Linked DNA regions of Arabidopsis thaliana. The protein of the gene in region 2 interacts with the protein of the main gene of each other region in a pairwise test. Each region holds a gene or a part of one and is shown on either strand. Other genes may lie near its edges.

Evidence for each region.
Region 1: the proteins of AT1G15900 (region 2) and SMO1-2 interact in a protein complementation assay, tested with the Arabidopsis thaliana proteins (one large-scale study listed by BioGRID).
Region 3: the proteins of AT1G15900 (region 2) and AT3G62560 interact in a protein complementation assay, tested with the Arabidopsis thaliana proteins (one large-scale study listed by BioGRID).

What each region holds. Positions count from the first base shown.
Region 1 is NC_003075.7:11,952,029-11,960,969, forward strand, and holds SMO1-2 (sterol C4-methyl oxidase 1-2), read right to left. Parts: upstream 4,891-8,941; 5' UTR 4,668-4,890; coding exon 4,332-4,667; intron 4,254-4,331; coding exon 3,931-4,253; intron 3,590-3,930; coding exon 3,442-3,589; intron 3,349-3,441; coding exon 3,316-3,348; intron 3,156-3,315; coding exon 3,096-3,155; 3' UTR 2,812-3,095; downstream 1-2,811. Other genes in the region: AT4G22755 (methylsterol monooxygenase 1-3), read right to left, coding at 1-35, 159-194, 312-459, 651-973, 1,258-1,581; AT4G22758 (PPR containing protein), read left to right, coding at 6,449-6,793, 7,090-7,294, 7,659-7,876; AT4G22760 (Tetratricopeptide repeat (TPR)-like superfamily protein), read left to right, coding at 8,525-8,941. UniProt on the Arabidopsis thaliana protein: Non-heme iron oxygenase involved in sterols biosynthesis by catalyzing the removal of the first methyl group at the C-4 position. 4,4-dimethyl-9-beta,19-cyclopropylsterols such as 24-methylenecycloartanol are the preferred substrates.
Region 2 is NC_003070.9:5,461,027-5,468,434, reverse strand, and holds AT1G15900 (uncharacterized protein), read right to left. Parts: upstream 4,163-7,408; 5' UTR 4,080-4,162; coding exon 3,738-4,079; 3' UTR 3,488-3,737; downstream 1-3,487. Other genes in the region: FDM1 (XH/XS domain-containing protein), read right to left, coding at 150-362, 717-1,004, 1,118-1,207, 1,321-1,502, 1,584-2,484; AT1G15890 (Disease resistance protein (CC-NBS-LRR class) family), read right to left, coding at 4,474-7,029; AT1G15885 (uncharacterized protein), read right to left, coding at 7,340-7,408.
Region 3 is NC_003074.8:23,133,481-23,141,956, reverse strand, and holds AT3G62560 (Ras-related small GTP-binding family protein), read right to left. Parts: upstream 4,672-8,476; 5' UTR 4,419-4,671; coding exon 4,290-4,418; intron 4,178-4,289; coding exon 4,046-4,177; intron 3,398-4,045; coding exon 3,077-3,397; 3' UTR 2,812-3,076; downstream 1-2,811. Other genes in the region: AT3G62550 (Adenine nucleotide alpha hydrolases-like superfamily protein), read right to left, coding at 4,883-4,970, 5,050-5,168, 5,394-5,503, 5,592-5,763; AT3G62540 (Pentatricopeptide repeat (PPR) superfamily protein), read left to right, coding at 6,644-8,443.

The sequences.
Region 1 (8,941 bases), on a different chromosome or scaffold from region 2:
TTCCTTACTCTCTTCTCTTCAGCTTCCTCTTTAATCTACAACATATAAGATAAACCACAAAAACAAAAGTAAGATGTAGATAATGTCACACATGACAGATATATATATATATGAAGTTATTAAGCTAACATTGATAATGTGAAGTTTAAAATATTAACCTGATGATGAAGAAGCTTCTTATGGATTCGATAGCCCTAATGACAGAAAACAATATAACAACAACGTCAACACTGGTCAATATTCTATAATACGTAATTAGTTTAAAACGCTAACGGACAAAGTAATATGATTGAAGTTTGATCAAAACTCACTTTATCAGTTCCATAAATGTAATCGCAGTAAGTGAAAACCGAAGCAAAGTTGCTCTGGCTTTGTCCTCCAACGTAGTGATGGTAGTCATGATACTCAGGTCCACCGTAAAATGGAATTAATTTTGTCACACTCCATGGAAAATCATATCTGCAAACAAAATAAGTAAACAAGTGCATCTACAAACAATATGTAACTATTTATGTCTATGTTTGCATATTACTAAATTCTTTTTTTGTGTTTAGCGTTTGAATTTTCGAATGATATCACTAAACACTCAATCTTTCTTTTACAAACGCTAAACAGGATAATGATTTTAAGTTTGTTTAGTGTAGTTTTACCCGCTGTGGGTCTCAATCGCCTCGAATTGTCGTAAAGATATCCATAACCAAAACGTCATTATATGGCCAGGAGCAATTGCCGGTCCAAGAAACGTCGGAATCCCAAGAATCAAAATCTCGGCCCAATGCGCATACGGCGATGCGTATCCGATAGGTGATGTGTACTCATGATGGATTCGATGAATCTTCTCGTAACCCCATTTGCAATGCATCCATCTATGGATCCAGTAGTTAGTGTAATCTTCTATCAAGAAGTAAACCACTAATTGTGCTACTATCTCCATTAACGATGGTAATGGCAAACCACTTCGAATCCCAACCATCTGTCAATTAACACATATAGTATATCTCAAGAACATCACAAATTAACAAAAAAAAGTGTTGTAAGAAGGGTATATACATATATGCAATAATATAACGTTTCAATTTAATATTTTAATGGGATTTTTCTCTAAATAACCAAAAAAAAAAGCACAAAATTGTATAACAACCCACTCACACAAAAAACGTTGCAAAAACAACACTTAAAAAAAGGAATATACATATATCATAAAATATTTGGTTGTTTGTTTTAAAGAATAAATGAAAATTTAAAATGAATAGTAACCTGGATGGAAGGATAAGAAACGATTTGCAATGTGCCGACGACGAGAAGGAACAACTTCATGACTTCTTTATAACATTGGAACATATCAGACAACGAATACTTAACCTTCTTCTGAATCTTAAACTGATCGAACCAACCGGTCCATTCGACAATCACAAGAGGAAAAGGAGCTAGTGAAAAGACAAGGAAGAGAACCAGAATGGTGTGGCAATATACATGGAAATTGGATTTGGTGGCTGAGTAATCGAACCAAACCGTCTCGAACCAAGTAAGGTTTCGTCCTAACGCCACGGACGCATCTTCTACGGTTGGATAAGGGATCATATTGTGAGAGTGTTGTGTCTGGATTAATTTGTGTGGTTTATGTTATAGCATTGTTTTGGAGTTATAGACTCATAAAACGTGTCTTGAATGTGTTTTGGAAAATGTATGATGAGGATGCTTGAAAAACTATATAAAGATGCACAAATGTCGAAACATGGTACCTACTTAATTAATTTCGGTGATTTTTCTTTTTTTTTGATTTTTCCAATTTTTGGTATATTATTTACCCTTTGAGAAGTCCGCCAAATTGGGTCCTCAATGTATTTGTTTTTTGACTTTTTAGTAGAACACAACAAAACATATCTTATCTCTTTACGTCTATATTTGATACGAACGGGTCACATTTTCGTTTTTTAAAAATATAAAACGAAAATTCAAAGTTACTAAGGTTGTTATTTTTTAGTAGTTATTTAGGTTAGAAGATATCTAAAATTGTATGTTCGGAAATATTTGTTGCAAATTCATTTATAGACCTATCATCAGGAGTAATTTCTTTTCACCAAATGATTTTGAATAGCTAAAGCCTTTCTTCATTGTTTAACAATCTACGAAACGAAGAGTGATGATCCATACGTCTAGAAAAGAAAAACTCGTTGATACACAAAATATGTGTGGACAAAAACTTAATATCAAGTTCATTAAAACTCTTTCGTGAATTGGTTTAAGAGTAAAAACTTATTGAAGTAGTTTACAATATAGCCTCATTAAACCAAAAAAAAAAATATAGCCTCACACAGCTACAACCCCATTCTTGAAGTTATTATCATATTCACTGTGTCCATGGTAATTCTAAGACAACGAGAACAAGGAAATGTGTGTTAAAGAAAAACTGTGTGTTGTTAGGTTTAGTTGAAAAAACACAGGAAGGAAGAGAGTGTTTCGATTTTAAAGTCATAAATTAGTTGGTAACAACTAAATAAGTTATTGTACCTACTACTGTACTTAAAACTGTTGTTTTCAAGTTTGGTGAGACAGCTTTAGTAAATGCATGTGTTTCGCTTGTTTTAGCCTTCTTTGATTAGATTTGTTTTCCGAGAGTGAAATCGACCCCCATCATCAATGCAACTATCGTTATGGTAAGGATTTTCCTTTTAAATCATGCCACTCAAATGCAACAAAAAGGAAAAGAAACGCCCACCGTGGGGCTCGAACCCACGACCACAAGGTTAAGAGCCTTGCGCTCTACCAACTGAGCTAGACGGGCCTTGTTGTTAACGTTAGATACTTAAGTTATACTTAACTTAACTTAATACTATCAGAGTAGGAACTTGTTACAAGCCAATGAATGCACTATGTAACATTTAAAATATACAAAAAGGATTTATTGACACACACCAATTCCAAAAGAGTTTTAAAAAAAACTTCAGATAGGAACTCGTCACGAGCATTTTCATGTGACACAGGGAAGACCAGAACAGAGAAAACTAACTACCCTTTCATTTTTAAGTATTGACTACATTTGTAGAATGCTTGAAACTTACGGTAAGTCAACCTCGCGAGGGGTTTTAGATTTACTAATCGAATTTCTCTCCTCCATTAACCAGCTTGTTGCTCTTCTTGGACTTCTCCTTCATCTGCAACTCATAAGATATAGCATCAAGAAACATATCATCAATATGATGATACTAGATACCACATATACTGTTATGTGAGCTTGCAATTTGATGGCTGCGTTTATGGGTATGCGGTATGCCGAGAGATAAGCTAGTCTCAGTTTATGGAGTATTTATTTACCTGCTGAAGAAGCTTCTTCTGGAATCGGTAACCCTGATGAAAATAAGAACATATACCCACATTGTCAAATTTTTATCCAGAATTAGTAGACGCTAACCGGAAAAGAACTGAAGTTTCATTACTCACTTTATCAGTTCCATAGATGTAATCGCAGTAAGTAAAAACTGAAGCAAAGTTACTCTGGCTTTGTCCTCCAACGTAGTGATGGTAATCATGATACTCAGCTCCACCATAAAATGGAATGTACTTTGTCAGAGACCATGGGAAATCATATCTTCAAAAGAAAACGAAAAATAAAAAAAACAAGTCAATTTATCTCCAGAGAAACAAGTTTCATGCACCAAGCAATCATCATATTGTCCAAATACTTATTTGAACAAGACAAGATGCTTATCATCTCAAGAATGATTTCTTGCTCATGTTGACCACAAAAGATTAACTAAGCAGTCTCTAAACAATCACCTAGAGCTAATTACAGTCAATAAAGCATCAGAAAAGGCTAGTGCCTAACCTTAGCCCCACCAACAAAAGGTAAACGCACTATTGAAACTTCCCACATAGCCCCAACGCATTATAAACTAAGATAAACAATTCAAAACCATTCCTTTTCCTTACCCGCTATGAGTTTCGATAGCCTCAATCTGTCGTAAAGCAATCCACAACCAAAAGGTAATCATATGACCAGGAGCAATAGCAGGTCCAAGAAACGTGGGAATGCCAAGAAGCAAAACCTCAGCCCAATGAGCATAAGGAGCAGCATAACCAATAGGAGCTGTATACTCATGATGAATATGATGAAACTTCTCATAACCCCATTTACAATGAAAGAATCTATGAACCCAGTAATTAGTATAATCCTCTACCAAGAAGTAAACCACTAACTGTGCTACAATCTCCATACATGATGGTAATGGTAATCCACTTCGTATCTCAATCATCTGTTTCAACACACGAAAAACAAAATCAACCTAAATCGCATCAATTCCGAAATTAGAAGCCAAATTCCAGAAATTAACCTGAATCGAAGGATAAGAAACGAGTTGTAATGGACCAACGACGAGGATGAACATCTTCATGACGTCTTTGTAACATTTGAACATCGATGAGAATGAGTTTTTCACTTTTGGTTGGATTTTGTAGCGATTGAACAAATCTGAGGTGGATTGAGATGATTCGATGAAAACGAGAGGGAGAGGAACGAGAGAGAAGATGAGGAAGAGGAAGAGAATGTTGTGGCAGTAGAGGTAGTAATCGGATTTGGTGGCGGAGTAATCGAACCAGAGAGTCTCTAGCCATGTGAGGTTTCGAGATAATGCGATCGACGCTTCTTCGATTGTTGCGTATGGGATCATTGTAGAAGATGATGAAATCGTTTCCTTCCGGTGACGGCGACGGTCGTTGACGTGAGATTGAGATTGAGATTGAGAGAGAGAGTGAGAGAGGAGAGTGTCGTCGTTGTTGTTGGATTTTGTCTGTTATGATTTGGCGAATATTTGGAGTAGTGACGTGGCATTATCGGTTTAGTTTACAAGTGTGATGTTTACTTGTTGAACCGGATTAAACCAAAATTACTAACATTGTCTCAAGATCTCGCTTACAACATAAAAAAGAGGGACAAAATGGCCCATACTAAAAGCCCATTATAAATTATTGGGCCATTAAAATGGATAAAATGTACTCCACAGTAGCGTTGTGTTTGGAGTAGGCCCAATTTTCTTTCTTTAATTGTTTAAATGGTGCATACAAATTTCTGTTTTTTTTTTTAAGAAAAAAAACTTTATTATACACTTGGATATACACATATATATAAAGACACGGATATACATACACGAGTTTTGTGGAATGTGTCTATGAATTTTTATGACACCATTATACTATAGAGATAGCAAAAGGTTGAAATAAATTGAGGCTGTTGGCCAATTGTATTTAAGTAATAGAATGGTATTACATCATCACGAAAAGTGACGTTACATTTGAAATTATAAAGTCTTACAATTTTTTCGTCATGACAATAAATGATATTTAAATGTAATAATACATATTTTTTAAGTTTCAAGTATACATAAAAAAGGGTCACAAACGATCGTTGTTAAATACTTGGTGGAAAACAAGTGCGTTACGCGTGAACATGAGTGCGTATGGCATAAGAGAAGTCGACCACACCATTAATGACTTTAAATCAAGCCCAAAAGTTCTTTCTTTTAACAGTGGAAACAAACCTCGGACCAATCTCAGCCACACAAATTCTCCTTTTTATTTTATGTTGTTTTTTCTTGACGTTGATGAATTCTTGTTTTTGGTTATAAATTTTTTATATTACTTCCATTACTCAGCACTTTCGTAAAATTTAATGAATTGATGATACTAGTTGAGTCTCCCTCCTCTCTAATTGTTTATGTGTTTTTTTTCATTTGTTTATGTGCTTCTCACTATCACCTTAGATTTTTTGTGTTTTACGAAACTTGTTTGGGTTTCTCGTTTTCTTGTTTAACGTGTCAACTTTTCTACAAATCCAATAGTTTTGTTTCCTTTACACTTTATAGGATTGTGAGTCTCCCAAGTAATCTTCTAAAACAATGCATCAAGAAATTTATATTCATTTGTACAAGTATATTATTGCCTTTTTCCAACACATTTTATCCATAATAAGGATAGATTTTTTAAAAAATACTCCGTATGCTAACCAGAAAACATTTTAGCTCCATAATTACATAGAAGTTTTAATCTAATACAGTGCTACAATTCAACGCATTTCTATTTTACTATAATAAACACAAGTACGTAAGAATCAGCACAAGATATCATACTATAAAAGAATCGATCGTCGACAGGAAATATAAATACTATATTACAAGAACCACGTCTATATTACTACCTTTAATCGTGTATTTTTTTTGGTCGGTTTGAATTTAAATGTTAAAATCCACACTTATGTTAAAAAGAAAAAAAAAAACAATTTGATTTGGAAAAACATTTGAAAAATACAAATGAAAGAAAAGAAGATAATAAAAGAGTAAAGCAAAGCAAAAGCAGAGAATAACTCTTAATTCGCTTCTTTGCCAAGCAAACCACCAAAACCTCTCAATTGTTTTTTCTTCTTCCTCCTCCTTAAGCAAAGATCATCATTCACGAAATGTCTGATTCGATTCACCGGAGAAAAGTTTCGAATCCTGTAGGAAATGGAGGTCGGAGCTCCAGAACAAGACGAACAGCTTTCAGATATGTTTCCGACAAGAATAATCGCTCTAAATCGAGTAATAAGGTTTTCGAGAGAAGCTTCTCAGAGCCGAGTCTTAATCGCCACCGCGACGGACAGAGTAATCACTTGCGGCGACCATCGCCGATGAGAGGTTTACCGATGGAAGAAGAAACAAAACCGATCGTTTACTTGCCTAGGATTCGCTCTGAGGTTTTCGCTTCGTCTCCGTCGTTGTTGAACTTATATTCGCCCTCGTCTTCATCTCCGATCAATCAAGAGGTCAGAGTCGTTTGCTTCTATTTTTTCAAATCAACAAATTCATGATTTCAACTCTGTAAGAGAATTCATCATTTAGTCCACAAAGATTTAAAAGTTTACAGTTTAAGCCTAATATTATAAAATATTTCAATATAACCATTATATAGGCTGAACAAAGAGTTTTAAGTTCAGCTGCAAATTCTAGAGTCAGTTCTCCAGTTCATGTTATCAGATCGTGATAAATATACCAAAAATTGACATTTCTATTAAATTTCTAAAATCAGAGAACCTCATTTTGTTATTATTTTTCGAAACAGGGTAATACAAAAGAAGCACCAAAAGTAATAATCAGTGTAGCAGTAGAAGGAAGTCCTGGACCGGTAAGAGCAATGGTTAAACTGAGTTGCAACGTCGAAGAAACGATCAAAATTGTCGTTGACAAGTACTGTAAAGAAGGAAGAACTCCAAAACTCGATCGAGATTCTGCCTTTGAATTGCATCAGTCACATTTCAGCATCCAGTGTAAGATATATTAATTATCCAAAAATAATAATTGTTTTTACATATAGAATTAATAAAATAAAAGCACAAATGATGTTTTGGTTGAAATTTTGAATCAGTTGTTTTCAGTTTGACGTAGATTGATTGGATTAAATATCTATACTCCATGATATCTAGTTTTGCTTTAATCACCAACGGTTATGGAAAATATCAAAACTACTCATGGCTCATGTGAACATAGAAACATCACATAATTCTTGAGTTATATAACCTATAATAAAGAAAATGGTGACTAAACCTAACGATTTACCTCTCTTTTTTGTCACATAATTGAATGGTTAAGACAATCAAAATATACTTAAGTTTGATGTAATGTAATTTTCAGGTTTGGAGAAAAGAGAAATAATTGGAGAATTAGGCAGTAGAAGCTTCTACATGAGAAAGAAAGCTCCTGAAACCGGAGGTTCGTTCGCCGGGATTTCTCCAGCGAGAACGAGCCTAATTCCGTCGTCGAATTTGATCGGATCGTGCATCGCTCAGTTGATTGGGAAAATCATGAGGAGAACAAGAAGGATATGGAACATATTGGTATGTGTGCAATGAGATAGACCAAAGTATACACTTTTGAGCGTGGCACATAATATTTTTTAGTTTGTGTTTTGCTCCACTCTCATCAAATAAGGGAACCTTGTACTTTATGAAATTGTATTATAAGTGTGTATATATTTGTGACGATAGATGGATATGGTTCTACGAAATTATTGATTTATGAGGAAAAAATTCATACACACTTCGAGAAAATAACAGAAAATTGACTTTTGAATTATAATTGTGAGAAAAATGAGAGATCAAACCTTCTGTTTGAGTCAGAGTCTTTAGGAAGTATCTTCTTCTTCTGCGAATTGCAAAACCCAAACAGGTTTATAACAGAGAGAAGTTGCCGTCGCTATCGCCGACGCCTCCACCACTACTCGGCGATCACTGTAGTCCTCATACTCTCTCTTTCGGGTAAAATTGCTCTCATTCTATTTTAGGAAGCCTTTCTTATATTATTCAGGATATAAACCGTAAAGTTTTAGATTCGAAATTAAAATTTTGACTCGGTGCATCAAGCACAAACTTATTGGACTTTCTCTAGAAAAGAGCTGAAATTAGGAACTGAGGCATCAATGTAATGTATGACGATTGTTTTGATAGTGGAAGGTCTTTGGTAGATTGGTTCTTGTGTTGGTTTTAGAGTTTGTTTCACAAATGTTGGATTCTAAGCTGAGATTCTTCCTTCAAAGATGTGTAGTGCTTGAACAGGCGAAGCAAGTTCATGCACAGTTAGTAGTGAACCGCTATAACCATCTTGAACCCATCTTGGTTCACCAAACTCTTCACTTCACTAAAGAGTTCTCTAGGAATATTGTAACCTATGTTAAAAGAATCCTCAAGGGGTTTAATGGTCATGATTCTTTCTCCTGGGGGTGTTTAGTTCGGTTCTTAAGCCAGCATAGGAAGTTTAAAGAAACGGTTGACGTGTATATTGATATGCATAACTCTGGGATTCCTCCAAGTTCACATGCTGTAACCTCAGTGTTAAGAGCCTGTGGTAAAATGGAGAATATGGTTGATGGTAAACCGATTCATGCTCAGGCTCTGAAAAATGGATTGTGTGGTTGTGTT
Region 2 (7,408 bases):
GTATGGATACAAGTATCAACGTTCACAGAAATCACAGGTTACTCCATATTTAACTAAAACAGTGGCCAAGAAACTTTTCAAAGTCATATTGGCGCCAACCTAAAGCAATGATTCAGTGTGATAAAGACTTGTAAAATGAATGAACCTACCTCTGCTCCATCCCCGGTTCCTTCATGCTTGAATGGTTGCCATGATGGATTCTTAAGGTTCTCCTGCCATGTAGAGCAAAGGGTGGCAGCTTCGACCGCAGCTTCATTTGCAGAATATCTCAGCTTGCAAACATCCAGGAAAGGTTTCTCATCAAGTTCTCCCATCCTTTTTACTCCAATATCGGTCTCGGCACCCAACAATCCTGTCAAACCCTGGATCAAAGAGCAACCTTTTGAGTCTTGTGATGTTTATCAAGTTCTCCCATCAATTAATAACTCACAAGATATAGTGGTAAATATCTGTGATTTTTATCAGAGACCTACAGACGTCATACACCGTAATCTTATCAAATTGAAACTCATATTCAATCCATCCCATCAAACAGGTTTATGTTAAACTTGCAAGTTCAGTTGTCAACTAAAGATAACCAACAAACTAGAGTGTTTGACCATGTCTGAATTATTTTAGATGCGAAAAACGAAAACGATTCTCAGGATCATATTGTTATAATTGCAAAATGCAACTGTATCAGTACCCAAGAACACTAAAGCATTAGAAATCTGTACCGCAATCAATTTTTTCCGCGCTGCTTGTATCTCATCATTGCTTTGGCGTTCTTTTGTCATCAAGACTGAGTTCATACTTTCTAGCCCTTCTAACTCAGCTTTCTTGTCATCCAGCTCATCATTCATCTCTTTCATTTTCTTCTGGACCGCCTCATCATCATCATCCCCCAGATGCTTCATCACTTGTAATTTGCCTTTTAGCTCTTGAATCTCCATTTCCAGTGTCTGTTTGGTGTCTAGCTGCTTCTCAAGCAGAAGGATCTTGTTCAAAGCATCTTCTTTTTGCCTCTGGCAAGGAGAGAGTTTCAAACTCAGACACAAAAAGGTAGGTACGGGTGGTTTCCCTTAATTTGGAATTAACTTGTTAGTCAGTTTAAGTAGTGTGCTATGAAGGAATATACCTGATGTTCTTCTACAAGTCTCAAGACGCTTTCGTCAGCCTTTTTCTGCTCACGTGAGGCTAACTGTAGGGATTTGTTCATAGCATCACTCTGCCAAAGCAAAAAAAAAAACATAAAATGATCATTGGTTCCTCGGAAAAGAGAAATGCATACATATGAACAGACTGATTGTTTCCTATGTATCATACTGAAAACGATATTACCTTTCTCTTGTCTTCATCAAGCTTTTGCCTATCCAGTTCAGTTAGTGCTTCATGTTTTTCCAATTGTTTGGCCCGAGACTCCAAGTCCCGCATCTTACGATCCAGTTCATTGCTTAGCTTCTCTTTATCATATAGGATTTTCTGGATATGGCGAAGTGACATCTGCTGCATCTTCTTTGTTTCTGAGGAGATAAAGTATAAAAAATAGTCAGATACCCTAAATGCTATATGAGTCGGAAACATATCAGTGTGTCAGTAAATACCGTCAGCAAAAGCTTGGTGCAAGTTTTTTTTCTCATCTAGGACCCTTTGCAGTGACATTGCCGTCCTGTTGTAACTGTATTGGACCTTGTTCAGATCTTCGTTTGTCATAGCAATCATATCTGAAAGTTCTTCCAGAACAGTGTTTCTATCCTGCACATTTTTTTGCGAAATATCTGAAACTGTTCTTAGCTGTCCCTCCTTGGAGAGGTACTCACCTATTGGACCTTGAGATTCAAAGTCGTCTGCACGTGCACACCAACCATAGGCCTTTGACTCTGAATCTCCGCTCCTCTCAGTCCACTCCTTTTTGCTGGACCCTTGGGTCTCAAATTCTTTTTCAAGCTCTGTGGCACCAGCAAAGCCACTCCAGTCTCCGTTAAACTTAGCAATAACCCCAACAATCGAATCTTGTTCGACCCAAAAGGCATTCACCTCAATAGGCTTGAATTTGGAAAGGGTCTGCAGCCAATATGCTGAATCAAGTAGAAGTTCCTTGTCATCCGCTTCTTTCAAAGGGTTAACAACAATCCCCATCCATGGCCAGACATAGACGTTATGAGGGTTTGGTTCAGTCTCGTCTAACTGAGGAGGAACAACTGGAGGGCGTGGAACAGGTTCTGCATAACCAGCAAGCTCATTCTCTAAAAACATAGCTAAAGCAAGATGATTAGCCTTCTGTAAAGCACTTCTGGTGGCAGAACCTTTGGAAACCCCAGTAGCATGTGCATACAACTCCTTGTACTTGTAATCTTGCTTCTTCTTGCCTGCACAAAACGGGCATCTGAGCTGTCCATTCACCTTCACCTTGTAAGTCCCGTCGCGTAAAAGGCGGTAGGGTGTTTCAGAATAGTCCTCAATCTCTGACTCGCTGATCTCAGCCTCTTCATCAGAAATGCTCATCCTACCTGCTTTACCTGGAGAAAAGAATGATAACAAATGAAAAATAGCAACCAAGAGGATGATGCATTCACCAAACAAGCTAAATAGAATCTCTAAGAAATCGAAAAACTTTTTAGAGTTAAAATGAGTCTGTCACATCAGATAGTTCATGCAGCAAAGTTTAAAGCCCAAAAGAGACTCAATTTCTAGCAAACTGAGTCGATAGTATGGAAATCTTCAGAGCAAGAGAAACCCTAGGGAAGAACTTAAGGAAAAAATAAACTAGAGAAAGCAAAAGAGACGAAATTGATACAGCATTTACAAAACTCAGCTAAGAGATTCACGCATGTCGCATGCATGATAAGGAACATAGAGAAATCCAAAATATTTTCTTAAAGAAGAAGTGAGTAAAGGCATTGAAGCACGAAATGCCCAGAGAATAGAGAAAATCATTACTAGGGATTTCAATGAGAAAACAGAGAATAGAAGAAATCTGGAGCTTACGTTAGAGAGGGAAGGAAAGGGAAGACGGCGATGACCCAACGCTTGATGAAGAGTGGAGTATAGAGAGACAGTGAGGAGGATCCGAAGAAAATTTCTATGCCAATAAAACAAGAGTTAGGGAATAAAAAAAGCAATAAAGATGAAGAGGACTTGGAAATTGGAATTAATTTAAGAACAAAAAAAAAATGAATTAGGATTCAGAAAAAATAAATGCGCCAATAGAAGGAGAGTTAGGAAAAAGCAATATTAAAGATAACGACTAAAAACACATTGATGAAAGAAAAAGAAAAAGAAAAAAAATCATGTTTGACTCATGTTTGACCAAAATTCATTTTGGTCTTGGTCTTGGACATCATAATCTTTTCAATTTTGTTGGTTTTCAAATTTTGATGTGATGTTTCAAGCAGGCCAAATGTTTCTCTCCTTGATCTTCACAATGAATGAGCAAATGGCGAAAACGAATATTTGATATTGAGCCTAAACACTGAACTAATTCAAAATTTCAGATTTCATGAATCATATACTTTAGCAGCAATAATCTGAGTACAGTTTTATTCAAAACTGATTTACTTGAATCAACAATACTCTCATAAACTGTTTGTTGCATGTTTTCATTTCAACAAGTAAAATCAAAGGAGACTGATTACCAAAATTTTGTGATGATCAAACTTTTGATAAAAATTGCGAGATTATCCGTGGATACAACACTGACAAGCTTCAACGGAATATTTTCTACTGTGAATCGAATCGGCAGCAATAAGAAAGAAGATTCAAATCGGAAGGATGGGTCGGGTACGTGATCTTCGAGATTTCCAGAGGAGGAGAACCAAAGCAGCTATCACAACTCCAATGGCGTCCGCGACGGCGTCTCTAACGGAAGCACCTGCGGAAGGGAAGATACCAATTTGATCGGCAGCTTCTTTAGCCGCACCGGCGGCGAGTGAGAAAGCAGATCCGATCCAGATGGAGTGACGGCGTAGAAAGGAGTAGCGGGAGAAAGAGGCGAGAGTAGAGAAGATAAGAGAGATTGAGAAGCAGAATATTACATGGTATAGTTTGTCTCGAGCTAGCCAAGGATCTTCTCCATCGCCGCCATGAAATTGCGTCTCCATCTAGTGTTCTTACTGGAAGGCTAAAAACGGTTTTCCGCGTTACAAAGATTAGGAAACCTTTTAAAGTAATAAACTCAGAGAGATTAGAGTAAAGAGAGAATGATAACGCACTTGGAATTTTTTGAACTTATTAGACAAAAACAAAATACAAGTGAAAACTGAAAAAGGAAATAGTCTTTCAAAACTTTGAAAACAAGTTAATCGGGAACAAAAGCAGTGCACAAACAGAAACCAAATCAAGAAGTGAAAGGATATAGTCAAACAGAGAGTGTCAAATCAAGCAAGAATGAGGGAGATAGAAAAGCAGTACATCTGCGATCTGCGATAGCTTCATTCTCCAAAACTAGTACATAAGCCAGAAACCATCAGCTAGCACCGGAGCACCGTCCTCCCATTATTCATTGGCATGTCGCGGAAACTCAGTGGCAGCTTCCGGTAGCTTAAGGCAGCTTCGTACATCAAATTGTCTCAGGTTTGGAAGAGCCGGGGGATTCCAGCAGATTCTCTTTAACTCATCCAAACCCCTTACTTCAAGGAATTCCAGCTTCCCAAACGGAACAACGATATTTGGATGCACATTGGTAATACTCATTCCTTTCTCCTTGTTTATTATCTCTTCTATGGTTAATGACAGCGTCACAGATAGACGCCTGAGGTTTTGAGCAAACAACAGCCATGTTAAATCCCTTGGACCTTCCAAATTGAATATTTCAACAACAGAGAGGTGCTTAAAGCCAGGAGAACTTGTACATTTAAGCTCCCCTCTTCCTTTTCTTTCCCAATCTATCTTTATCTCTGAGATTTTGGAGCCCACGATTTCAAGGTGTTGAAGACCACCCAGAGCTACCGTGTTCAATATTATAACCGGTGCTGACATATTTCTGAGACATAAAGCTTGAATACTACTCACCAATCGGTCCACTCCTTGTATACTTTCCAAAATCAAGGCGTCCTTTATAGTTGCTGTTAAAACCTTCAAGTGCTCCAAGAGTAGTAACTCTTCCATTAAACTGCCATCAATACAAACACGAGAAGAAAACAATTTCAACACTTGCAGGTTTGGTAGGCTTGTAGCTATCCCAACAATACTTTCAAGTTCATCAGTAAACTCCAGATTCAAATGGATTAATTTCTTCAACTCCTTAAAACTAACTGGCAACCATTTTATCCCTGTTGTTGATAAGTTGATATATTGCAAGGAACCTAACTTAGAAATTGCTTCCGGCAAGCTAGAGAGACTCGAGTTCCTCGAAAGATCCAAGACCACGAGTGCTGGCATAAACCTAAAAAAGTCACATGATATATGCACCAACTTGTTATTCTGGAGTAATAGAGTTGAGAGGTTGGGAGAGTTGGAACTAGAAGATATATTTGCAATCTGATTGCACATCAAAGACATCCTTCTCAAACTTTCCCAATTGATGTCCTTTGGTATATGGCATAACTGCACACCGGGTTTCACACAAAGTGTTTCTTTCTGTTTTCCAAAGTTCGACGCTATCCAAAGAGCCATCTCGCGTATGACATCATGCATTTTCACTTTTGTTGTTAGTTCACCATCCATCAATAGATGTGCACGAACTAACGAGCCAATTATGTCATGACCTTTGTTGTTAGCTCCATCTTCATCTTCATTCCCATCTATAAATCCTTCACACATCCAATATTCTATCAACTCTTCCTTTCTTACTTCATAATCTTCCGGAAACAGGGAACAATAAAGGAAGCACAATTTGACTTTTTCATCTTTTAAATCATCATAACTGAACTTCAAAACAGGAAGAATTTTTTCTTCCATACTTGGGAACTCGTGGCTAGACGAGTTCAGAACATGAATCACATGCTGCCATTCCTGAACAGTCTCTCTAGATGCCATAGCTTTGCCAATGACACTGAGTGCAAGTGGCAAGCCACAACATTTTTCTGCTACTTTTCTTGCAAGTGTGGGAATATCCTCATGGCTCTGTAATGGGATTGGTCCAACTTTCTTTTGGAACAGTTCCCAGGCTTCATCCGGTGGCAAACAATCAACTTTCATCTCACCATCAACTTCCATATCTCTGCAAACATCTTTAGAACGAGTGGTGAAAACTATTTTGGATCCATTTTCTCGCGTTAGAGGTGGAACTCCAATCTTTTCTAAATCTACTTCGCTCCATAGATCATCCAATAACAGCACAAATTTCTTTACGTTGAGGATGTTGCATATGTAAGAGGCTTTCTCCTTTTCTGTAACTTGTTTCCATCCCCTGTGAAGACCTAGTCTTCCTAAAATCTGTTCTTGAATGCCTTCATTTTGCAAATCTTTAGAAACCACAACCCATATAACAAGATCAAATCCATTCATCCCTTCAAGGAATTTGTTGTTAATAGAAGCTAAGAGCGTGGTTTTACCTACTCCCCCCATACCATAAAGACCCAAAGTTCTTCGTTCATCTTTCATGAGGCTGTTCCATGCCCTTCCGACCATTGCATCCAACCCAACTGTGGTTTGGATATGCTTCTTCTCCACCTTAGGCGCAGGAATTTTCTCTGCCACCACTTCAAAAACTCCTTTAGCTAGAAGTCCTTCCACGTGTTTCAACTTTTTCAGTACATTTATTCCGTAATTGCGGCCAGATATGAAATTCTTAGAACAATATCCACAGAGACATAACCTTTCAGTTTGAATTGATTTAGCTTTCAGCAGATCATTGACTTGAGAACAAACATCTTTAACCCTTGAAAGCCAACCTTGAACTTGAGCAAGCCGTTGCAAACCTTTGTCTTCTTCTATGACAACTCTTCTTAACAGATCATCTCTTCTCTCCTCGAGCTCTTGCATAGTATTCTGCAGAGCCTCGAGATTAGCCTCCATCTTGAGAATGTAATTCCGATCACCAAATAAGCAGCCACAAGCATGATTCAACGTTTGATCACAAGATATTTCTAGTGCTACACAGTTTCCCATCTTACTCAAACTTTCAAATATCAAGACGATGCAGGAAACAACACAAGATAAGGAGCACTGAATGGAGAAGAGGAAAAAGAGTACAATCGTGCCCTCCTGATATTGATTAGAAAATTTAAAAGTCAGACTGCAAGTTCTAATATCTTATTGAAAGTGGCAGCTTCAACGAAAAGTCAAGATGCGTGTTCAGATATCCACAAAATGACATTGACCATCAAACATTAAGAAACTATAAGATAAAGTTTTCTATCCACAAAATGATATTGACCATAAAAAAATATGAAGAGCACAACTATCTTTCAACTTTCAACTAATGTAACACTCTGCTACTGTAATTGTTGCCGTAATTACTCAATTCAAGCTCATCCCTTTCTTCCTC
Region 3 (8,476 bases), on a different chromosome or scaffold from region 2:
TTTGTAATTTATATACATCATTGTGATTTTGTCATATTCTGAAAATCGTCATAGTATGACGAATGATTGCATTATTCCCATCACCCATCTCTCGAGTAATCATGTTCAATTATTACTTACTATATACTTCGAGTTTTATTTTCTTCATCAGATTCTTTGGCTATTATTGTTTTGCCAAAAATGAAAATTTAGAATGGAGCCTATAATATTGATCATAATTAGATGTTGGCCATGCCAAGAATTTCTTAATGGTGCACGTTAAAAGCTTTTGATAAATTACACACGAGTATCAAGATATTCATGTTATGTGCTTCAATGATGAATATAATTACCTTTCCCCGATTTTATACCATTGTGAAATTACGTAATTAATTAATCGGGGCACGTCTTGTTATTAATGTTTCTTAGAAAACAGCATGCTATTGCAAATCATGTAGAATTTGTATGGTCTAAAATCAATGCAATGTCAACATGTATGTAGCAGAAGACATATGGTCCGTATGAAAACAATATGTAATGTCAAATAAATATCCAACTTTTTTCATAGGATTCTTAAAGAAAAAAAAAAACTATATAGCAAGGGATGGTAGCCTTTATGATTGGGAACTGAATATAACAGCAATAATAATAATGCAGCTCATAAAATGATTATATTATAGGTACAACTTCCTTCCACATTTTTGGACTTATAGGCAATGTATGTGTATTGGCTTCAATTTACAACATAGGTGTTAATCATTCAGAATATAATATCGATCTTTAACTATGTATTACAATTTTCTATTCTCCCTTGTATAAATAAAAAATGGGTAAAAAATACAGTTTTCCCTTGAAATCCTATATTTCCATGATAAATAAACGAATTTCTACAAAGCTATATGAACATTTTTTTACATCAATGATTCTCTATATTCTTACAAACCAAACTCTATTCATTTGTATATAAATATGAACTCTTGATTGAATTTTCGTATGAAATTGAACTAGTTGAGAATAGAGATAAGAGATGAGAACTGCTAGTATAATACAAATTAAAAGATAGAGTCGAGCATTAAATAGTTGATGATAGTGCACACCGTGCCATTGGTCGAGACAACTATGCCAGGATGGCTTGAGTTAACAAACTCTACAAAGACGACGATTACGTGTTAATTGTAGTTAACTAGTGTTGAGTTAAATATTTGGTTTAAAAGTGGGTCTACTTAAAAGGCAACTGTCCCCATTCTATAAACATGTTAGCATCTTAAGAGGCACACCATGACGGCGTATATATCATACACACAACATGTACATACATATTTATACGTAAATACCCTTCATATTTTCATATATACATACACATCAATATGTATACTTCGTCAAATCCCTTCTATCATATGGTATGTTTTAGTTCTAAATTTAATTTTGATAAGTTATATAGTATCTTGCAAAGTTATAGGAATGCATATAGTCCAACAGAAACCAAAAATTATTTGAAAAATCATAAAATATTAAGCTTTCTAGCTACAAGTGGACATCCAAAAATATTGTACATAACACTTTCACTATTGGGTGTTTCGACATTGCAACATGATTGCATTGTCTATGACTGGTGACTTTCACCGAGACATGGGTTTTATATAGAACCAAATAAGTGTCAAAGTTGGCGCAAGTTTTAAGATAGGAATCTATTATCAAATACTAATAATACTAGTTGTATGATTAACGTCGTTATTTAATTTGAAGTATTGAGTAAAAAAGAGAGAATATTGCGTTGGGCATCAAACCAATCATCTAGTTTTGCTCAAATGCATACGATAGAGACCTCTTTTGGATCCAAAAGCTTTGGGTTTTGAACTAAAAACTGAAACCAATCACATAAAAGTCAGATAGCTCAGAGGGAGGCACGTGTTCTTGGCTTAGATATCACGTGGGAATGAGGGATCCATGTGCATCCCTTTACCCCAAAAACCAAGTTAATACTTCTTCTAAATTTATTTTTCTCTTCTCCACGCAATCAATCGAATGAGTTTTAATATTTTGACATTTTTTTATATATAAAAAAAACTTTTCTCATTCAAGCAAAAAACTTAAATCAAATTATTCATTTGGTCACATTTTCGTGCTTGGTATTTCATGGGTCCTGGGACATAGAACCAGTCTCTAGCTAGTGGCGAATATAAAAAAGAAACAGCATAGTAAAAAGAAGAGCAAAAACTGTAACAAGGAATCAATCCAAAGGAGAAAAAATTAATAACAAATGATAGAAATAATACGTTAAAAAAAAACTTTTGATATTAACTTTGGGCCACGTAGAGAAGAATCAGTCCAAAGGAGAAATGTTCTGAAAAAGTTATAAAAAGAGAAAGTGAGCACCTAATAGTTTTCTTACACATCCATATTTGCATAGTCCGTAGACATATATATGCTTGAGCTGCAAAATCTTGAGTCGCAAAATCTAATCTATTAGCCTTATTACGCTGCGACTTGAACGTTTGGAAGCGGCTGAGATCAAAGACGCATTGTGATGGTGCTAAAAAGCAAATTTTTTTACTTATTTTGTGAACTATTTTGGAGTATTATTGTTCACATATTTTAATGAAAATAAATACATGGTTATCCATAGATCTGTTTGTGTTCATTTCACAATACCTAGAAAGAAGAAAAACAGACATAATGATAAGTTCACAAAGAGACATAACACATGTAAAACAATATACGTACACTCATTATGGTACATCTATGTGTCAAATTGATTGGTTTTCAGTGTAGGACATTGTGATTGTTAATTGTCAAACTCGATTCACATGGGGTTTTCTCTACATTACATTATTAAAGTAAAAGTGTTCATCTTTCGAATTTTCATAAAAAAGCTAAGATACAGCCATTTCTTAAGCCCCACACAGTTACACAGTCACAGACAAATGGGTTCACACTTTTCATAGGATTCAACTTTGGTCTGTAAACACAAAATTGATAATTTAAAAGCCGTCAAATCTTGTTGTATACACACATTAATCGTAATTATACATTAGGTTATAACACGTACAGATACCAATCACACAGTATAGATAGATAAGACTTAAATATGATTGATCTAGTCGATATATTGAGAAACCCATTTAAATCCTTCGCCGTAACCCATCTTTCTGACAATGCTGCACATGAACACCTCAAGAGGACGAACATTTGTTCCTGCTAGATTCACTTTACCTTTCCCAGTGGTGAAACTGGTGAGGCCTAGATGATAACGCAGCTCGTCTTCTGATGCAGCGTACGGAATGTCGATTTTGTTTCCAAGGATGAGGAAAGGGACATTTGCTAGGGATTCATCAGAGAGAAGAGCGTCAAGCTCTTTCTTTGATTCTGCAAACCTCTCTTTGTCATATGCATCAACTAGGTATACCACTGCATCAACCTAATACGAGACAATAATAAAGTTACAAACTTGAAGATAGAATGCAAAGAGGGTAGCTAATAGAAACACCGGAGTCTATTAATCTCTTGATTCACTGGAATCATCAGCTATGAGAATGTAAATCACAAGGGACCTCATGACTCTAAAACTGACAGTAAGAGTAGTCTATAGCTATACAATCTTCTAATTTTCAACCTCCACTGGCTCCACATACCAATCACAATGTCATTTTAAACTACAGTATATGATGTATATGTATATCTATCATCTGAAGATTTTACTATAGCTCAATCATTTCAAACTATCATCTGCAAACTTATATAACCCAACGGAGCAACACAGTGGCTAAGGAACAGAGTAGGAGTAGTACACAGCAAGAGCTTACTAGGTACACATAACCAGCAGAATGTAATCACAGGACCTCATGCTGCAACATTCAAAAGAGAATTGCTATATGACAAACTTCATTGAAGATTTCACTTCACCTCTATCATCTAACTATTGTTTATATGGGCACAGGGAAGATTGTAATCTATAACAGAGTCAGCTTAGAGTCTACATACAACTATACGAGCGCAATAGTCCTTCCAAAGACTTGCTAAATTGATTGACCTAACAATAAAATCCAAAGAAGAAAGAAGATCAAACCTTAGCGTAATAGTCCTTCCAGACTCTACGAGCAATCTGATGACCTCCCAAATCGAAGGCTTTGAACTTGATTTTGCCGATACTAAGCTCTTCCGATGTCGGATGCTGTGTCGGCTGATGCTGGACCAGTCTCTGAAACCCAAATCAAACGATTATCGCTGATTAAGACTTTGATTCGTTCGCGCTAAGTAAAAGAAACAAGATTCTAGACAGCGATTACTGATATGGCTCGAAGAAAACGAACCTCGTCCTTTAACATGTGAAGCAAGGTGGTTTTGCCGGCGTTGTCGAGACCTAGAAACAGAATCTTCGCTTCTTTCTGCCATAGTCCCAGAGTTGCCAGAACTCCATAGAACCAATCCACCAGGAACATCGCTTCTTCTTCTTCTTCTTCTTCTTCTTCTCTCTCGCGAGATTGAAGATTTTCACGAAGCTTCGAACACGGAAACGGCGACGTTTAAGTATGACTGTGTCGACTGGATGAGTAACAGATATACTTTGGGCCTTGAGGCCTTTATTGAACTTTGAAGCGAACAACAATTAAGTGTTCAAACAACAAAATTGCAAATATTCAAAACTTGGTATATGGTTCATTACATTCTTCTATACGTTAAATTGAAATTTGCGTTTACATTAGTTTTTAATTTGGCATTGTATGTAGAGAATGTAGATTTGAATTTAATTGGTTGATTGATGTCATTGTCAGCTAGTTTTATATAAGCAAAAATATCTGCTAAATTTGTTTAAACCGTTATGTATTTTATTATCGCATACGAAGATTGATTCAAGTGTTACACCAGTTCTTTCGAAACATATACACAATGCAATCATATGAGCTTAATTATCTTGAGCTTGCTTCTTGACGATAACCACAGGACACTTGACTCGTTTGGCGCAATACTCGCTCACACTCCCTAGCAAAGCCCTATCAAATATATCAAATGATTATCAAATAACCATTAAACCAAAATATTTTTGTTTCTTATAAGAGATTGAAACCTTACCTTTTGAAGAAGCCATAGTCATGAGTGCCCATTACTAACATATCAACTCTAAGTTTCTGAACTGCGTTGCATATAACTTCCTTAGCATCTCCTCTTCCAACTCGTCTCTCTATATTAATCTGCACATTAATTTGGTTATATTTACATTTATTTCGCCAACTCTCTTTGAAAACAACCATATTTTGCTTATCATATGTTATATTTTTTGTACTAAATATTGCTCATGATAAACAGATTAACTCATAACTACTTGATTAAATTCACTTTCTCATAATTTCTCAAGTTTTTTAAGCAAGTATAATCCAGCAAATTAAGTGATAAAAAATCGATAGAAATAAGCTTACATCAGACTCATAATCTTGGTACACGGTTCGAGACCGAGCCATGACCGATTCCACGAGCTCGTATTCATACTTCTTCAAAGCTGCAACCGGGTCTCCTGTCACTATAAACCCTGGAAATCGACCAAACAAAAATCTATAACTAAAGTGAACAGATTATAATTAGGGAAAGATATGAATCGTGAAAGAACGAGGACTAACCTGCGGCATCGAGGGAAGAGTAAACGGGAAGAGGGGGCTTGACGTAGAGGAGGATGAGTGTATTATTGGAACCATATGGAAAAAGATTGTCAAGACTCCATGACAGAGCTTCCATGCTCTCTTCGCTTTCGTCTACTGCTACTACTATCTTTCTCTCCTTTGTTTCCTCCATTTCTTTACCTTTCTAAAAAAAAAAACTGTTTTCTTTTGCTTTCAATTATTAGAGAAGAAATATATTATGAAGAAGACCTGATGGAAGAAGAGATTATGATTGTGTTACTATTTATACAATTAGCTAGGCAAAACCCACTTGATTTCTCATTTTGGAATTAAGTGTTTTCATTTAGATATTTGCAGACACTATCCTTTGTGTAATTTTTACATTAGATAAGATATAAACCCACATAGGATTGATTGATAACCAAATACAGAAAACTATCGTTTTTCTTTCAGGGGTGACTCTTATCTACAATATGCGATATTTTTATGTAGATAATTCATGATTTTTTATAGAATTATTTCATGCTTCTGAACTACTATGTTATTATAGATTTTAGGTGAATCAATATTTATGAACTTAATCTGGAATCTGATTTTCCTCATATATCCCTTAGTTTTATATACATCCCGCAGGGTTATTGATGATTGATGTTACACTGATTGACTGATCTTGATTTTCAGTTATGTAATATCCATAAACACGTATACAAAGACAACGTGAACTAAGAGAAATGTAAGATAGAATCAAATAAATCTAAAAATAAATTGGTCCCCTAAGAAAAACTTGAGAAAATATCACGACCCTAAAACGAAGATAAGATGCATACAGATACCTTCCAACTAAAAAATAAAAATTCTTTATGCGTTTGAGCTTTAATGCTCCTGGTGGACCCAATGGTTATATGTGACCAGATCAATGGGCCTTTAATGGGTCAAAATTATTATCACTCAAAGCTTCTAATCAAACAAAGGCCCAAATACGTGAAGAGCTCTCCGCCGTAAATCAGTGGCTTTTCACCGACTTCGCCATTGCTAATCGCCGTCGAGCTTCCATGGCTGCTGCTCCATGGCTCTATCTCTCTAGGAGAAGAAGCTCCACTCAGACTTCATTAAGAAGATTCCTCATTTGCTCTTCTTCATTCGATGCCGATGAATTCATTTCCAGTCAAAGCCGCGTAATCGGCGGGAGAGGAGAAGAGGAAGTACGATTTTCCGGTGCTCTCTTCTCTCGTATGATTCATTCTTCTACTTATCATCCTTACCGTCAAATTCCATTGCCACACTCCTCTGTACAACTGCTTGATGCGAGTCTTGGGTGTAGAGGTTTCTCTAGTGGTAGTTCTAATGTTAGTGATGGATGTGATGAAGAAGTTGAATCTGAATGCGATAATGATGAAGAAACTGGGGTCAGTTGTGTTGAATCAAGTACTAATCCGGAAGAAGTAGAGAGAGTCTGCAAAGTGATTGATGAATTGTTTGCGTTAGATAGAAATATGGAAGCTGTTCTTGATGAAATGAAACTAGATTTATCACATGATCTCATCGTTGAGGTTTTAGAACGTTTTCGACATGCTAGGAAGCCTGCATTTAGGTTCTTCTGTTGGGCTGCAGAGAGACAAGGATTTGCTCATGCTTCAAGAACATATAACTCCATGATGAGTATTTTAGCAAAGACTAGACAGTTCGAGACGATGGTTTCGGTACTCGAAGAGATGGGTACGAAAGGTCTATTGACGATGGAGACATTCACTATCGCGATGAAAGCTTTCGCTGCTGCGAAAGAGAGGAAGAAAGCTGTTGGTATCTTTGAGTTGATGAAGAAGTACAAGTTTAAGATTGGTGTTGAAACCATTAATTGCTTGCTTGATAGTCTTGGCAGGGCTAAGCTTGGAAAAGAAGCTCAGGTTCTGTTTGATAAGCTGAAGGAGAGGTTTACACCTAATATGATGACTTACACTGTTCTACTCAATGGTTGGTGCAGGGTGAGGAACTTGATAGAAGCAGCTAGAATCTGGAATGATATGATTGATCACGGATTGAAACCTGACATTGTAGCTCACAACGTAATGCTTGAAGGGTTGTTGAGGAGTATGAAAAAATCAGATGCGATCAAATTGTTCCATGTTATGAAATCCAAGGGACCTTGCCCTAATGTCCGTAGCTATACCATCATGATCCGGGACTTCTGCAAACAGTCGAGCATGGAAACTGCCATTGAGTACTTTGATGACATGGTTGATTCCGGGTTGCAACCTGATGCTGCGGTTTACACGTGTCTGATCACGGGGTTTGGGACTCAGAAGAAGCTGGATACTGTTTACGAACTGCTCAAGGAGATGCAAGAAAAGGGACACCCTCCGGATGGCAAAACGTATAATGCGTTGATCAAACTGATGGCGAACCAGAAAATGCCGGAACATGGCACAAGGATCTACAACAAGATGATCCAGAACGAAATTGAGCCATCGATACACACGTTCAACATGATAATGAAATCTTACTTCGTGGCGAGAAACTATGAGATGGGGAGAGCAGTTTGGGACGAGATGATCAAGAAAGGGATTTGTCCTGACGATAACTCCTACACGGTTTTGATCAGAGGGCTTATAAGTGAAGGGAAGTCGAGAGAGGCATGCAGATACTTGGAGGAGATGCTTGACAAAGGAATGAAAACCCCTTTGATTGATTATAACAAGTTTGCAGCTGATTTCCACAGAGGGGGACAACCGGAGATATTTGAGGAATTGGCACAGAGAGCTAAGTTCTCAGGTAAGTTTGCTGCAGCAGAGATCTTTGCGAGATGGGCTCAGATGACTAGAAGGAGATGCAAACAGAGATTCATGGAAGATTGATAACTTGGGGGCGGGTAACTGGATCATTCAACT